Linked DNA regions of Xenopus tropicalis. The main gene of each other region encodes a partner of the protein of the gene in region 2 in a complex. Links are inferred from orthologs where the notes say so. Each region holds a gene or a part of one and is shown on either strand. Other genes may lie near its edges.

Region 1 (2,663 bases), on a different chromosome or scaffold from region 2:
CATTCCTTACTCCTCTCCCACCCCAGGTATGTCTGCTCCGCCCATTCCTTACTCCTCTCCCACCCCAGGTATGTCTGCTCCGCCCATTCCCACCCCACGGTACGTCTGCTCCGCCCATTCCTTACTCCTCTCCCACCCCAGGTATGTCTGCTCCGCCCATTCCCACCCCACGGTACGTCTGCTCCGCCCATTCCTTACTCCTCTCCCACCCCAGGTATGTCTGCTCCGCCCATTCCCACCCCATGGTACGTCTGCTCCGCCCATTCCTTCCTTCCCCAGGTACGTTTACCCACTAAGTCTTGCTCCGCCCATTCCTTCATCCCAACCCCAGGTATGTCTGCTCCACCCATTCCTTCCTTCCCCAGGTACGTCTGCTCCACCCATTCCTTCCTTCCCCAGGTACGTTTGCTCCACCCATTCCCTCCTTCCCCCCCCCCCCCCGGTATGTCTGCTTTGCCCATTCATTCCTTCCACTCCCCACTTCCCCAGGTACGTCTGCTCCGCCCATTCCTTCTGCCTCCTCCACCCCCCCCCCGTACGCCTGCTCCGCCGATTCCTTACTCCTCTCCCACCCCAGGTATGTCTGCTCCGCCCATTCCTTACTCCTCTCCCACCCCCAGGTACGTCTGCCCACTAAGTCTTGCTCCGCCCATTCCTTGCTTCATCCCACCCCCAGGTACATCTGCTCAATTTTCCCTTTATGACTCCCCCCCCCCCCCCCCCCCCCGCCAGTGGCTCACCCCCGCTCTTGCCCCCCCAGGTGGTAGAGGACGGCTATGAGTTCTTCGCTAAGCGGCAGCTGGTGACGCTCTTCTCGGCGCCCAATTACTGCGGGGAGTTTGACAACGCGGGTTCCATGATGAGTGTGGACGAGTCCCTCATGTGCTCCTTTCAGGTGGGTGCGGGGGGTTGTTCCATCCTGCCCGGGGTGGGGGGGTCGGCCTGCCAGTGTGTTGGGGGGGTAAAACCCTGTATTTTCTCTTGCAGATCTTGAAACCTGCGGATAAGAAACTTTTTGCTTACGGGGGCGTCAACCAGAGCCGCCCCGTGACCCCCCCGCGCAACAAGAACAAACAGTCTAAATGACCCCTAAATACCCCTTCCGACTCTTCCCCAAACCCCTGACCCCTCACACACTGACCTCCTTCCCCAGTCTGCCCCCCCCCCGGCGCAGAGGGCGGGGCCTGGGGATGTTACTTTTACCTCGCACGGGGGTTGGAGAAGATGGGAGGGAACCTGCAAATAGAACCACTTCTCTGCCTTAATCTCTTGTAGCCACAGTGACCCCCCCCCTGCCCCCCACAACTCCCATCCCCCCCCCACAACTCCCAGCGCATCTCCCAGTGGTGCCTTATTGCAGTACTGATCTCAGGGGTAGGTGCAAGTGCACCTTGTGGGGCTGTTCCCGACGTGTTGCCCCTCTGCCCCACTCTACGTGGAAACATGGCCGGACTGGGTGCTTTCTCCCCGCTCAGCGGGGGTTAATGGCATTTCAAGGGTAACTAAGACTTCTCTCTCAGTGATTTGCTGGAGTGAGTCCTGTCTGGTTCCTGTAGTCGTTAGTGAGGTCAGTAATTAGGCTTTGTCCCTGTTGGCATTAAACAGACATGGTATTGCGGAGGTGCATTGTGGGTAAATAGGGGAGGGGCTTGTGAGTGCAGCCTGGGACTCCCTTTCCTCCTAGTGCTGAGTTACTCCTGACCATTCCTGGTGGGGGTGGAGTCACAATGGGGGCAGGCTTTACAGGACACACCCCCTCATGTACTGTACTGTTCATAGGCCGGGGGTTTGCGCCCCCCCCACAACGCTGCTCTTCTCTCAATTCCTCGATTTTTCCTGTTTTGTGATGGTTTTTGGTCAGTGTTACGGCCCGTGAGCGGCTCAGCCAATCGCTGTGCCCGGGGGTGAGCCAATCGCTGTGCCCGGCACTGAGCCCATTGTGCCAGTCTCCTGCCCCTCGCTGGGGGGTGATTGTGTGGGGGCAAGTGAGGTGTCTGTCTGGGGCATGTACCTGCTTGGAGTTGCCAGTAGGGGGGGATGTGGGGAGGGGCTCTGAATGGTATCGGGGGGGGATTCTCGTGTGTCTTTTCTTCTGTAAGAGCTACGGCTTTTTATTAAACCTTTTTATCTCGTTTGAATGGAAACCAAATGTCTCTGTATTTATTCCCCGGGGGGCAAATGTCGCCTGGGCCGGGGGGCAAAAGAACCTACTGGGTCTGCACATCTCCTTAGGGCTGGGCACCTGTGGGGCAGAGGCAGATACCCTTAGCTTCCAGGAGGGGGAGTGCAGGCAGTTTCTCAGGTCTCTCCCTTCTATGTTACGTTATTGTGGGATTTATAGCCTAACTACCCAGAATTCCCGGCTGGCCTATTGAGTGCAGGATACGCGCGTTGGGCAAGTAAAGGGACACGGTCACTGCGGCAGTTTATTCATGGGGGCAAATCATATGGGAGATCTTTATAGACAGACGGGGCATGGGATGGTGGCAGGATGCCAAGGGTTAAATTAAGGGTTTTTGCCCCCACTTCTATGCCCAGCCCTAGTTGCCCCAGTGGGTGTGTCCTGCCCTTCCTGCAGGTGCCACTAGGGGGCAGCACAACAGCTCAGCTCATGGGGTTCAGTGAGATACGAGTTAGAGACCGGCGCTGCCGTCTGAACTCAC
Region 2 (3,653 bases):
GATTCTTCATTGGTTGCTGGACTGAGGCAGACATATCAGGCACTTCGGGATTCGGTAGATCTGAAAACATCACTTTTCTCTTTAAGGATTTCGGAGAACGTGTTTGAAAAACGTCATCACTGCGTGAGAGCAAGGCAGGTTGGACGACTAGAATACAACGGGAGAAGACAAAGACATCATCAGAAAATACTGATGGAAAATAATGAAGATAAGTAGATAATCCAAGGTGGCATTCACCTAAGACAAAAAATATTTATGCCATGGTTCTCAAAAATAGAAATGAAATAATCTAGAAAAGTTTGACAAAGTTTCTCCAGTGGACCTTCTTAGGACTAATATATATATATAATAAAATACATAGTATACAGAGTGAACAGTGTACACACTATTGTAAAAAAACAAGTAACTGAGGCTATAATGCTATAAAGGTATGGGTCCGAAGGTCATGGAATTTAGAAGTGACCTCAAATTTCCTCATGTCCAACCAACAAATGTATTTGTAGATGTGATATTGGTGTGTAGGCGCTATCTCAGTGCATTGTGCCTGAGTCTGAGCTTTCAGAAGGAGCCAGCGCTACACATTAGAACTGCTTTCAGGAAACCTATTGTTTCTCCTACTCCCATGTAACTGGAGGAGTCCCAAGTCAGACTTGGATTTCCGATACCTACTGGGAGCTGCTATCTTGCTCCCTTCCCATTGTTCTGCTGATCGGCTGCTGGGAGGGGGGTGATATAATGCCAACTTGCAGCTCAGCAGTAAAGTGCGACTATCAGTGCACAGGTCAGAGCACCCTGGGAAATGAAGAATACCCCATGTGAAATTTCAAAATTAAATCTAAAAAAAATCTGTTTTTGAAAAATAGATTTCAGTGCAGGATTCTGCTGGAGAAGCTCTATTAACTGAGGCCTTTTGAAATGTCCCTTGAGTGCACCATCTTTTTTGTTCATTATATATATTCACATATTTATATGAATATCAGAAAAAATACACTCAAAAGCACTAAACAGGTATATGAATATCAACAGATATATGAATATCAGAAAAAAATACACTCAAAAGCACTCAACAGCACTTAACAATGTGAAAAAAATATTTTATTCAAAGCCCAACATTGTCACCTATTGAGTGCTATACATAGTGTGTGTGTTATATATGTAAATTCTGAGGTAGAAAGGTGCACACCAGGATCCTTTAAAAAAATACCTTTATTCATCCATAAAACACTGCAGATTAGGTATATATATATATATTTATTTATGAGATGTCAAAGAACCTACAATATAGAGTGTTACACAAATGGAAGGCCAATGAGGGTGTGAGCTAGGGGTACAGTACACAGCTTTGCAATGTACAATTTGTCTTCCATTTAAAAATGAATGGGTTTCATTAATGTATAATAAAAGCGTACTCACCAGCAGAGTTAGAGTGGTTAGGAGGCACGGCTGAGGGTAACTTATGGTCAGGTTTGGGAGTCTTCTTGCCCACAGAGGAGCTGAGGCACTGACAGATAAAAGAATGTATGTCATTGCGCCATAGAATTAAAAAAACTTACATAATTAATAAATAAAGATATTTATAAAGATACCAATGCCAGAGAATATCTTAATGGTGAAGACACGGAGCTACTAGTAGCAGCTACTTATCACATCTACAAAAAAGACCATGCTGATCACTTACTGATAATTGTCTCTATGTGTGTTTTAGCAGAGGCAGTTCTCAGTATTGTCTATGGCAGGGTATTTTAGTAGCTGCTACTAGTAGCTGTGTGTCTTCGCCCTTACAATAACAGGTGAGGGCTAACCAGGACTGGAATTTATTTTAGCTCATCCAGCGTAATATAACATTTCTCTTTACTTCTACTGCTAAGCTTTTACTGAAAAATGTGAAAAATAAGACTAAAGCTGGCCATGCATGCCCACATTCGGTTAGCCATTTTGGTTGGGCTGGGGGGGGCATTCAGACTAAAGAATCCTTCTGTGCCTCTGTGACTTTCTCTCTATATGGTGTTAAAGAATGGAACTTGGGATGAATGCAGTTAAAATATCTTCTTAAATGCCTTGTCCTTACCTTGGTAGCTTTTTCTGCTGGGGATGGAAGGGCTAGTGGTGAGGGCTTCTTGGTTGCATTCTCATGTATAGGATTGAAAATACTGTATATTCTTTTCTTCTTCTGCGGAGGTTCAGCTGTTTCTTCCCCTGGACAATTAAAATATTGCATGTTGTGAATGAAGGCCACCTTTAAATCTCAACAGAAACCGACAAGTGGCTTTCACTAGTGCTTTGTACACAAAACATTAATAGTACCATAGTGTTGCATATCAAGTCTATGTCGTACATAGGCAGCCTCACCATGGAGATCAGAAATGACCTAAGTCAGCAGGAGTAGAAGTGGGTCTGACCTTCACTTGGGAGTTACATATCAGTGCAAAAGGGATATCACAGCATGTGTCTATCAGATGCCAAGAGGCCTGGCAGCGCCTTTACCTGTCACTAGTACTGACGAGGTGGAAGACAAGAAGAAAAAGGGCTGCAAACTCTCTTGGTTAAGACAAAATGTGAGAGTGGAACAATGTGAGGTACATTTCTCTTCCAGTGCTTTACCCATAGCTGGGTACCACCCAAGAGGAACACATAACACATAAATGGTTTAGAGCAGAATCCTTCAGAGATTTTCTAGTTGTGCCCCCTCCCTCTGCAGTCATACACTTCATTAGGTCCCTCTTAGCTCATAACCGGTTACAGGTATATGAAAATGTGTAATAGCCACACTCCAACAGTTCCACTGATTTCCAAGACTGTAAATAAAAAATAAGTAAACAAGATCACCCTAATAAGCCTCCCCCTATGGGGTACTGGTGCTGCAGTTTGGGGACCACTGGCTTAGAGGAACTCAATTCCATCAGAAAGCAACAATACATTTTGCTTACTAAACTGGGGGTATGTTGTTATATTACCCAATCTGTGTTGCAAAACTAAAGGGAAATGTAAAGGCTGAGCAATATGCAACTTGGTAAGTATCAGCACAAAAACACTGGATTCCCACCAGGTCAGACTATTGAGAGAATTATCAAACCAGAGAGCTGTGTCAGTTTATCAGAATATGATCTAAGCAGCCAAACACTAGTCTGTTTAGTTTGTGGTGGTACTAGCCAGTGCTGCTCAGTAGTAACGACGATCACCAACCTAATCAATACTCTCTCCGATGCAAACTGTATGCGTGAAGAACTGAATTTGACAATTTTTGTTCTGGCATGGAAAATAAATAGCCGAATTCCTTCAGAGCTGATAATACTTTACAGAGACCCCAGGTTGAAAGCCCAAGAAAAGACGCACATAACCCTGGCCAAATCAAACAAATGCAAGAACACTGATATATAATATAAATAGGATACAGAAAATACAAATACATGGACAACAGGGAAATTCAGTAGAACAAGACGTGTGGGGCTAGGTCATAGCGTGAAATCTGTTTTTCAAAAATGCAAACAGATTTTTTTATATTTAATTTTGAAATGTCACATGGGGCTAGCCATATTCTTCATTTCCCAGGGTGCCACAGCCATGTGACCTGTGCTCTGATAAACTTCACACTTTACTGCTGCGCTGCAACTTGGAGTGATATCCCCCCTCCCAGCAGCCGATCAGCAGAACAA
Region 3 (4,139 bases), on a different chromosome or scaffold from region 2:
CTACTGTGAAATTAACCACTGGTGAACTGCTGGGAGCTTTGTATTCATTCTAATAAAAATCTTAAAGAAACAATCCCCTTTTGTGACAATACTATGAAATAAAAAAAAGTAAAGGGGTCAGTTAGAAAGGCCCTTGGCACAGATGCAAGAGCACTAAAGGGCACAAGGGCTTATCTACCGAGCACTTGTGTCCAAAGTTGTGCTGTTTTTTGCAGGGAGCACCAGATCAAACATTTAGAATGGTGTTAGGCTGTTGGCAGCCTAGTCCTAACTTTCTACAACATATTTATTTCAATACTGGTGTAGAGATTTCAATTAACACTAAGTTGGTAGGGTAATAATTATTCACCCTGGACTAGTTGAGACACTGGTCTCCTGATCTTCAGGTGTCTGGGTTTCCACTGGCCAAGAAATTGCCAAACCTCCTGGCTGGCCCTGGCCCTGGCCAATGTACAGAAGCATTGATACCTGCACGTTTCTTCTTGCGTTACTAAGCCAGAAAGCATGAAGTCAGGGAGTACAATTATTTGGGGCAAAGGCTTCTGCAACTACTGAGAAAAAACAGCAATTAATGTATTAAATGTGACAGCTTAGGCAGCAGCACTGCCATCAGATGGGACAGAGGGAAATTTGGTCAGGGGCCTGATAGCAAGGGCTTCTCACAAGAGCTGATCTGAGACTTTTGGGCTAGTGGGTGAAGTCTGGGCTGATTGTGGACAACTTGGCAAAAATGGGAGTGAATTCGGGTTTTTTTGGAGCTCCATTGTACTTTTTTGCAGGATCCACTGCTCAGGTGTCAAGGAGTAGCCCCATAATTACTGATGGCAACCCTGTTAGGAGGCTACCAAAAGGTATTTCTGTGTATTAGTTGAAAACAATAAATTTAGCTGACGTGAAGTAGCCATATCTATTTTTATTTTACGTGTATCGTTTTTTCAAAATTACTAAGTATTTCACTTTGTTTTGGAAATTACACCTCATTCAAATATCATTTACAAAACCTAGAAACCCACAGAATGATCAAAGACAATGTCACTGGATCTTTTTTAAAACAAAAACAACCCTCACACGTGTAATGCATTCCTAAAACCGATAACGGTTACCATTTTTTATATACGCAGTACTAACTTTTGGCACTAGAGAAAAAATAGTCCTAGCTCGCAAATACGGCCAAATTTCAGAAACGGCTGGCGCAATGAAACACAGCGTGGGTTGAGATTTGACTGTACGTGCTATCGCCTGGGTCTTTAAAATGTACCAGGTCGTGCATAGATATTCATGCGCGGGCCGGCAGGGGAGGAGGTGGCGCCATTTTGTCAGGTTCTTGGGAGTCTGTAGCGGAAGACGAGCGAGGGGGATTGAAAAGCCGCTGCGGCGCCAAGACTGCCCCCTGCCCGGTTTCCAGTACGTTTGGGCTTCTGTTTTTATTGCGACAGTTTACTGGGTCCGCCATTTAGACTTTCGGAGCAATGGCAGATGTTGACAAGCTTAACATCGACAGCATCATACAGCGACTGTTAGAAGGTGAGGATGGTACTCGGGAAGGCCTGGCCGGGTTTCCTTACACTCTGTCACTTTACTTTCATGTGGTGGCAGGGTTGAAAGGGTTGCCATTAGCTATGTATGTGAGTGAGCAATGATGTATACACGGTGTTATTATTGGGGCAGCGGGGTTTGTAGCATCCTGGCTGGGCTCCTTGTGCTGAGATTGATATGGCAGTTGGAGCGGCTGTCAGCCTGCAGTTGCGTTACGGAGCCGTTACCGGAACAGGACTTTATTCTATACTCCGGTACATACAGGGTGCCGCTCTGATTGCTCATAGTATATATCTAGTTAATCAGGCTGTTGTACGAGTTATTGGCCGGACTGGCCCAATATACATTGTATAGAGGCGATCCGCTGGCTCCTAGCCGCTGCATGTGTATTCCATGTGCAGAATCCGGATTCACCCAGTATATCCGATCCTTAACACTGCGCAGCGCTCCATACACCTGGGAATCGCAGCGATCCGTATAGGGACCAAGGTGCTTCAGACTTTAGATTGAACTATGATTATTGCTCACTCCATAGGGGGCATGTTGTGCATTAGCTGATTATTTCCATTTGCCTTAGTTGACCTTCATAACTGTGTATATTGCCAATAGGTGGGGGTTATCCTGACCCTGTGCCACAGCTGTGCTGCTCTCACTCGCAGCTTTACTGATGCACTATATGGGGGAGTTGGAAGAATAGATTGTGTCATTTTGTGTAGTTTGCCTTTAGTTATGGGCAATGGGTGAGCAGCAATGACTGGATCTATTTTCATTTGTTGTTCTCATTAGTAAATTAATGCTGATGTGGTGTGACTTTAATGAGGAAATGTAAGCTACTAGCTCTGTGTAGAGGTGCCATTACATTTTCTTTTTTTTTTCTCTAACACTTTTTGCTCCTCGGTTCTCTATTTGGCAACTTAGGCTGCAATTCCCTTGTGGGGTTACAGGTCCTTGCAACCAGTTACTTGTTTAAAGGGCAACTGTGATAGGAAAATTGTTTACGGCTAATAGACCCTGCAACTCGGGTGGAAGAAAGCAATACTATTAGTGGGCATCTATTTATGGTATATAGTCTATATACATATATTTATGTATATGTAATGAGTTAACTGACTTACTCATTGTGAACATTCCTGTTGTGATGCACGCATTCGCATGAATGTGCCAGCTTATGTTTAGGCTCCAAATATGGCTGCCCACTTTACACTACCTCCTGGTGTGGACAGCATAGCCCTATTACATACAAAGCCAAAGTGTTTTTTGGGGCAAAATGTATAGTTTGCCCCAACCAGAATGCAGGCTTAATTAGCCCATATTTTCTGCGGTGAATGCAATTTTCTTGTTTTCTTTCTACTTCAAATTGAAGTACAAATAGTGAGTAAAAAAGGACATAATAAAAGCCTTGCAATGATTCTGAATTCCTAGTTCACTGACTTGCATTCACATGGCATTTTAGACCTTCAACTGTGAATATAAAGTAAATAAAAGTCAAGATTTTAATTGTATAAATCTGCAGCATACTAAATGTTAATGACTAAAATTCTGTAGGCTGATATGCTAATGTATTTGTAAGGGCAAAATATAAGTGGTTGTGTCCAGACAAGACAATGAAACCTTGTTGCTCCTATATTTTACATATATTAAAGGGGCATTATACCCAGTTTTCACCAGTAAAAAAAACATTGGCTGAGCTGGAAAAGAAAAAGGGGGTCAGCAAAAATATTTGCTTGCCCCAACACTCCAGCTGAAACCGAAGTTCTCTTGCTGTAGGCGATCAGATTCTTCAAACAACTGTCGTACCACCTTCTGTAACTATTAGTCTAATATTTAGGCGCAGGCCGAGCAAGGCTGGATTCCACCCAGCAAAAAACACATGGGGAACAATAATACCTCCTTTCTCAACATTTGTTTAATAAATAGGGGCTGAATATACTTATGTCTTTTGTTTTAATTGTGAAAAATCTCATTTTTATTTTGTGAGCTAAACAGGAAAACTGAAGCTATTCCATGTTTGGTCCTTGCGAGGTAGATTTTTAAAAATTGAAATGGGCAAAAAGTGTTCCGTAGAAGACCTATTTATTGATCTATTGTTAAACAAGGGGGGATACTGCACCTTTTAATGGAGACATATTGGATTTTTGAAAGTCACTCTCGTGTTGGTAACAATGAATAATATATGGTGCCTGATTCAGTGCCCTTAAGTGTTTACTCTGAAAATGTCACATTTAGAGAAGCTACCCATAGATCCTCTTGTCTATTACAAATGAGATGTGGGCTTGTCCTGACTTCTCCAATTTAAATATTGTGGAACGACCTAACTTAAACTGTTCATGTGAGGAAACCCACAAACATCCAAAAGCTGAAGCTGTTCTGTATAGAGGAATGGGCTAAAATTCGATGTGCAGGACTGATCAACGTTTGCTACAAACATAAAACATGTTTACATTTACTAATTCACGAACGCTCCGAGCGTATTTTTGGTGACTTTTTCGTACTTTGCGACAAAATTTGTGCGACAAAATCGTATTGTCGCGCTGAGTAAGAACGTTTTGGATACATTCAAGCTTTGGTATCGTGACTTTCCTTGGGCCAGGTTGGAGCTGCAC

The links.
Region 1: the proteins of cdca2 (region 2) and ppp1ca are in contact, whole or in part, in a crystal structure (PDB 5IOH), measured with the Homo sapiens proteins. The link is inferred for Xenopus tropicalis from reciprocal best matches to the Homo sapiens genes CDCA2 and PPP1CA. Residues at the interface, in NP_689775.2 of Homo sapiens: Lys391, Arg392, Val393, Thr394, Phe395, Gly396, Asp398, Leu399, Ser400, Pro401, Glu402, Val403, Phe404, Asp405, Glu406, Ser407, Leu408, Pro409, Ala410, Asn411, Leu414, Gly417, Gly418, Thr419, Pro420, Val421, Lys423; in NP_002699.1 of Homo sapiens: Gln20, Gly21, Ser22, Pro24, Tyr70, Asp71, Leu73, Arg74, Glu77, Tyr78, Asp166, Lys168, Ile169, Asp242, Leu243, Tyr255, Phe257, Arg261, Pro270, Ser284, Glu287, Thr288, Leu289, Met290, Cys291, Ser292, Phe293, Gln294, Ile295, Leu296.
Region 3: the proteins of cdca2 (region 2) and ppp1cc are in contact, whole or in part, in a crystal structure (PDB 5INB), measured with the Homo sapiens proteins. The link is inferred for Xenopus tropicalis from reciprocal best matches to the Homo sapiens genes CDCA2 and PPP1CC. Residues at the interface, in NP_689775.2 of Homo sapiens: Lys391, Arg392, Val393, Thr394, Phe395, Gly396, Asp398, Leu399, Ser400, Pro401, Glu402, Val403, Phe404, Asp405, Glu406, Ser407, Leu408, Pro409, Ala410, Asn411, Pro413, Leu414, Gly417, Gly418, Thr419, Pro420, Val421, Cys422; in NP_002701.1 of Homo sapiens: Arg20, Gly21, Ser22, Pro24, Lys60, Tyr70, Asp71, Leu73, Arg74, Glu77, Tyr78, Asp166, Lys168, Ile169, Asp242, Leu243, Tyr255, Phe257, Arg261, Pro270, Asn271, Ser284, Asp286, Glu287, Thr288, Leu289, Met290, Cys291, Ser292, Phe293.

What each region holds. Positions count from the first base shown.
Region 1 is NC_030685.2:494,832-497,494, forward strand, and holds the end of ppp1ca (protein phosphatase 1, catalytic subunit, alpha isozyme), read left to right. Parts: intron 1-760; coding exon 761-895; intron 896-987; coding exon 988-1,086; 3' UTR 1,087-2,144; downstream 2,145-2,663. UniProt on the Homo sapiens protein: Protein phosphatase that associates with over 200 regulatory proteins to form highly specific holoenzymes which dephosphorylate hundreds of biological targets.
Region 2 is NC_030679.2:127,760,022-127,763,674, reverse strand, and holds part of cdca2 (cell division cycle-associated protein 2), read right to left. Parts: intron 2,197-3,653; coding exon 2,069-2,196; intron 1,502-2,068; coding exon 1,414-1,501; intron 148-1,413; coding exon 1-147. UniProt on the Homo sapiens protein: Regulator of chromosome structure during mitosis required for condensin-depleted chromosomes to retain their compact architecture through anaphase.
Region 3 is NC_030677.2:162,953,085-162,957,223, reverse strand, and holds the start of ppp1cc (serine/threonine-protein phosphatase PP1-gamma catalytic subunit), read left to right. Parts: upstream 1-1,291; 5' UTR 1,292-1,469; coding exon 1,470-1,524; intron 1,525-4,139. UniProt on the Homo sapiens protein: Protein phosphatase that associates with over 200 regulatory proteins to form highly specific holoenzymes which dephosphorylate hundreds of biological targets.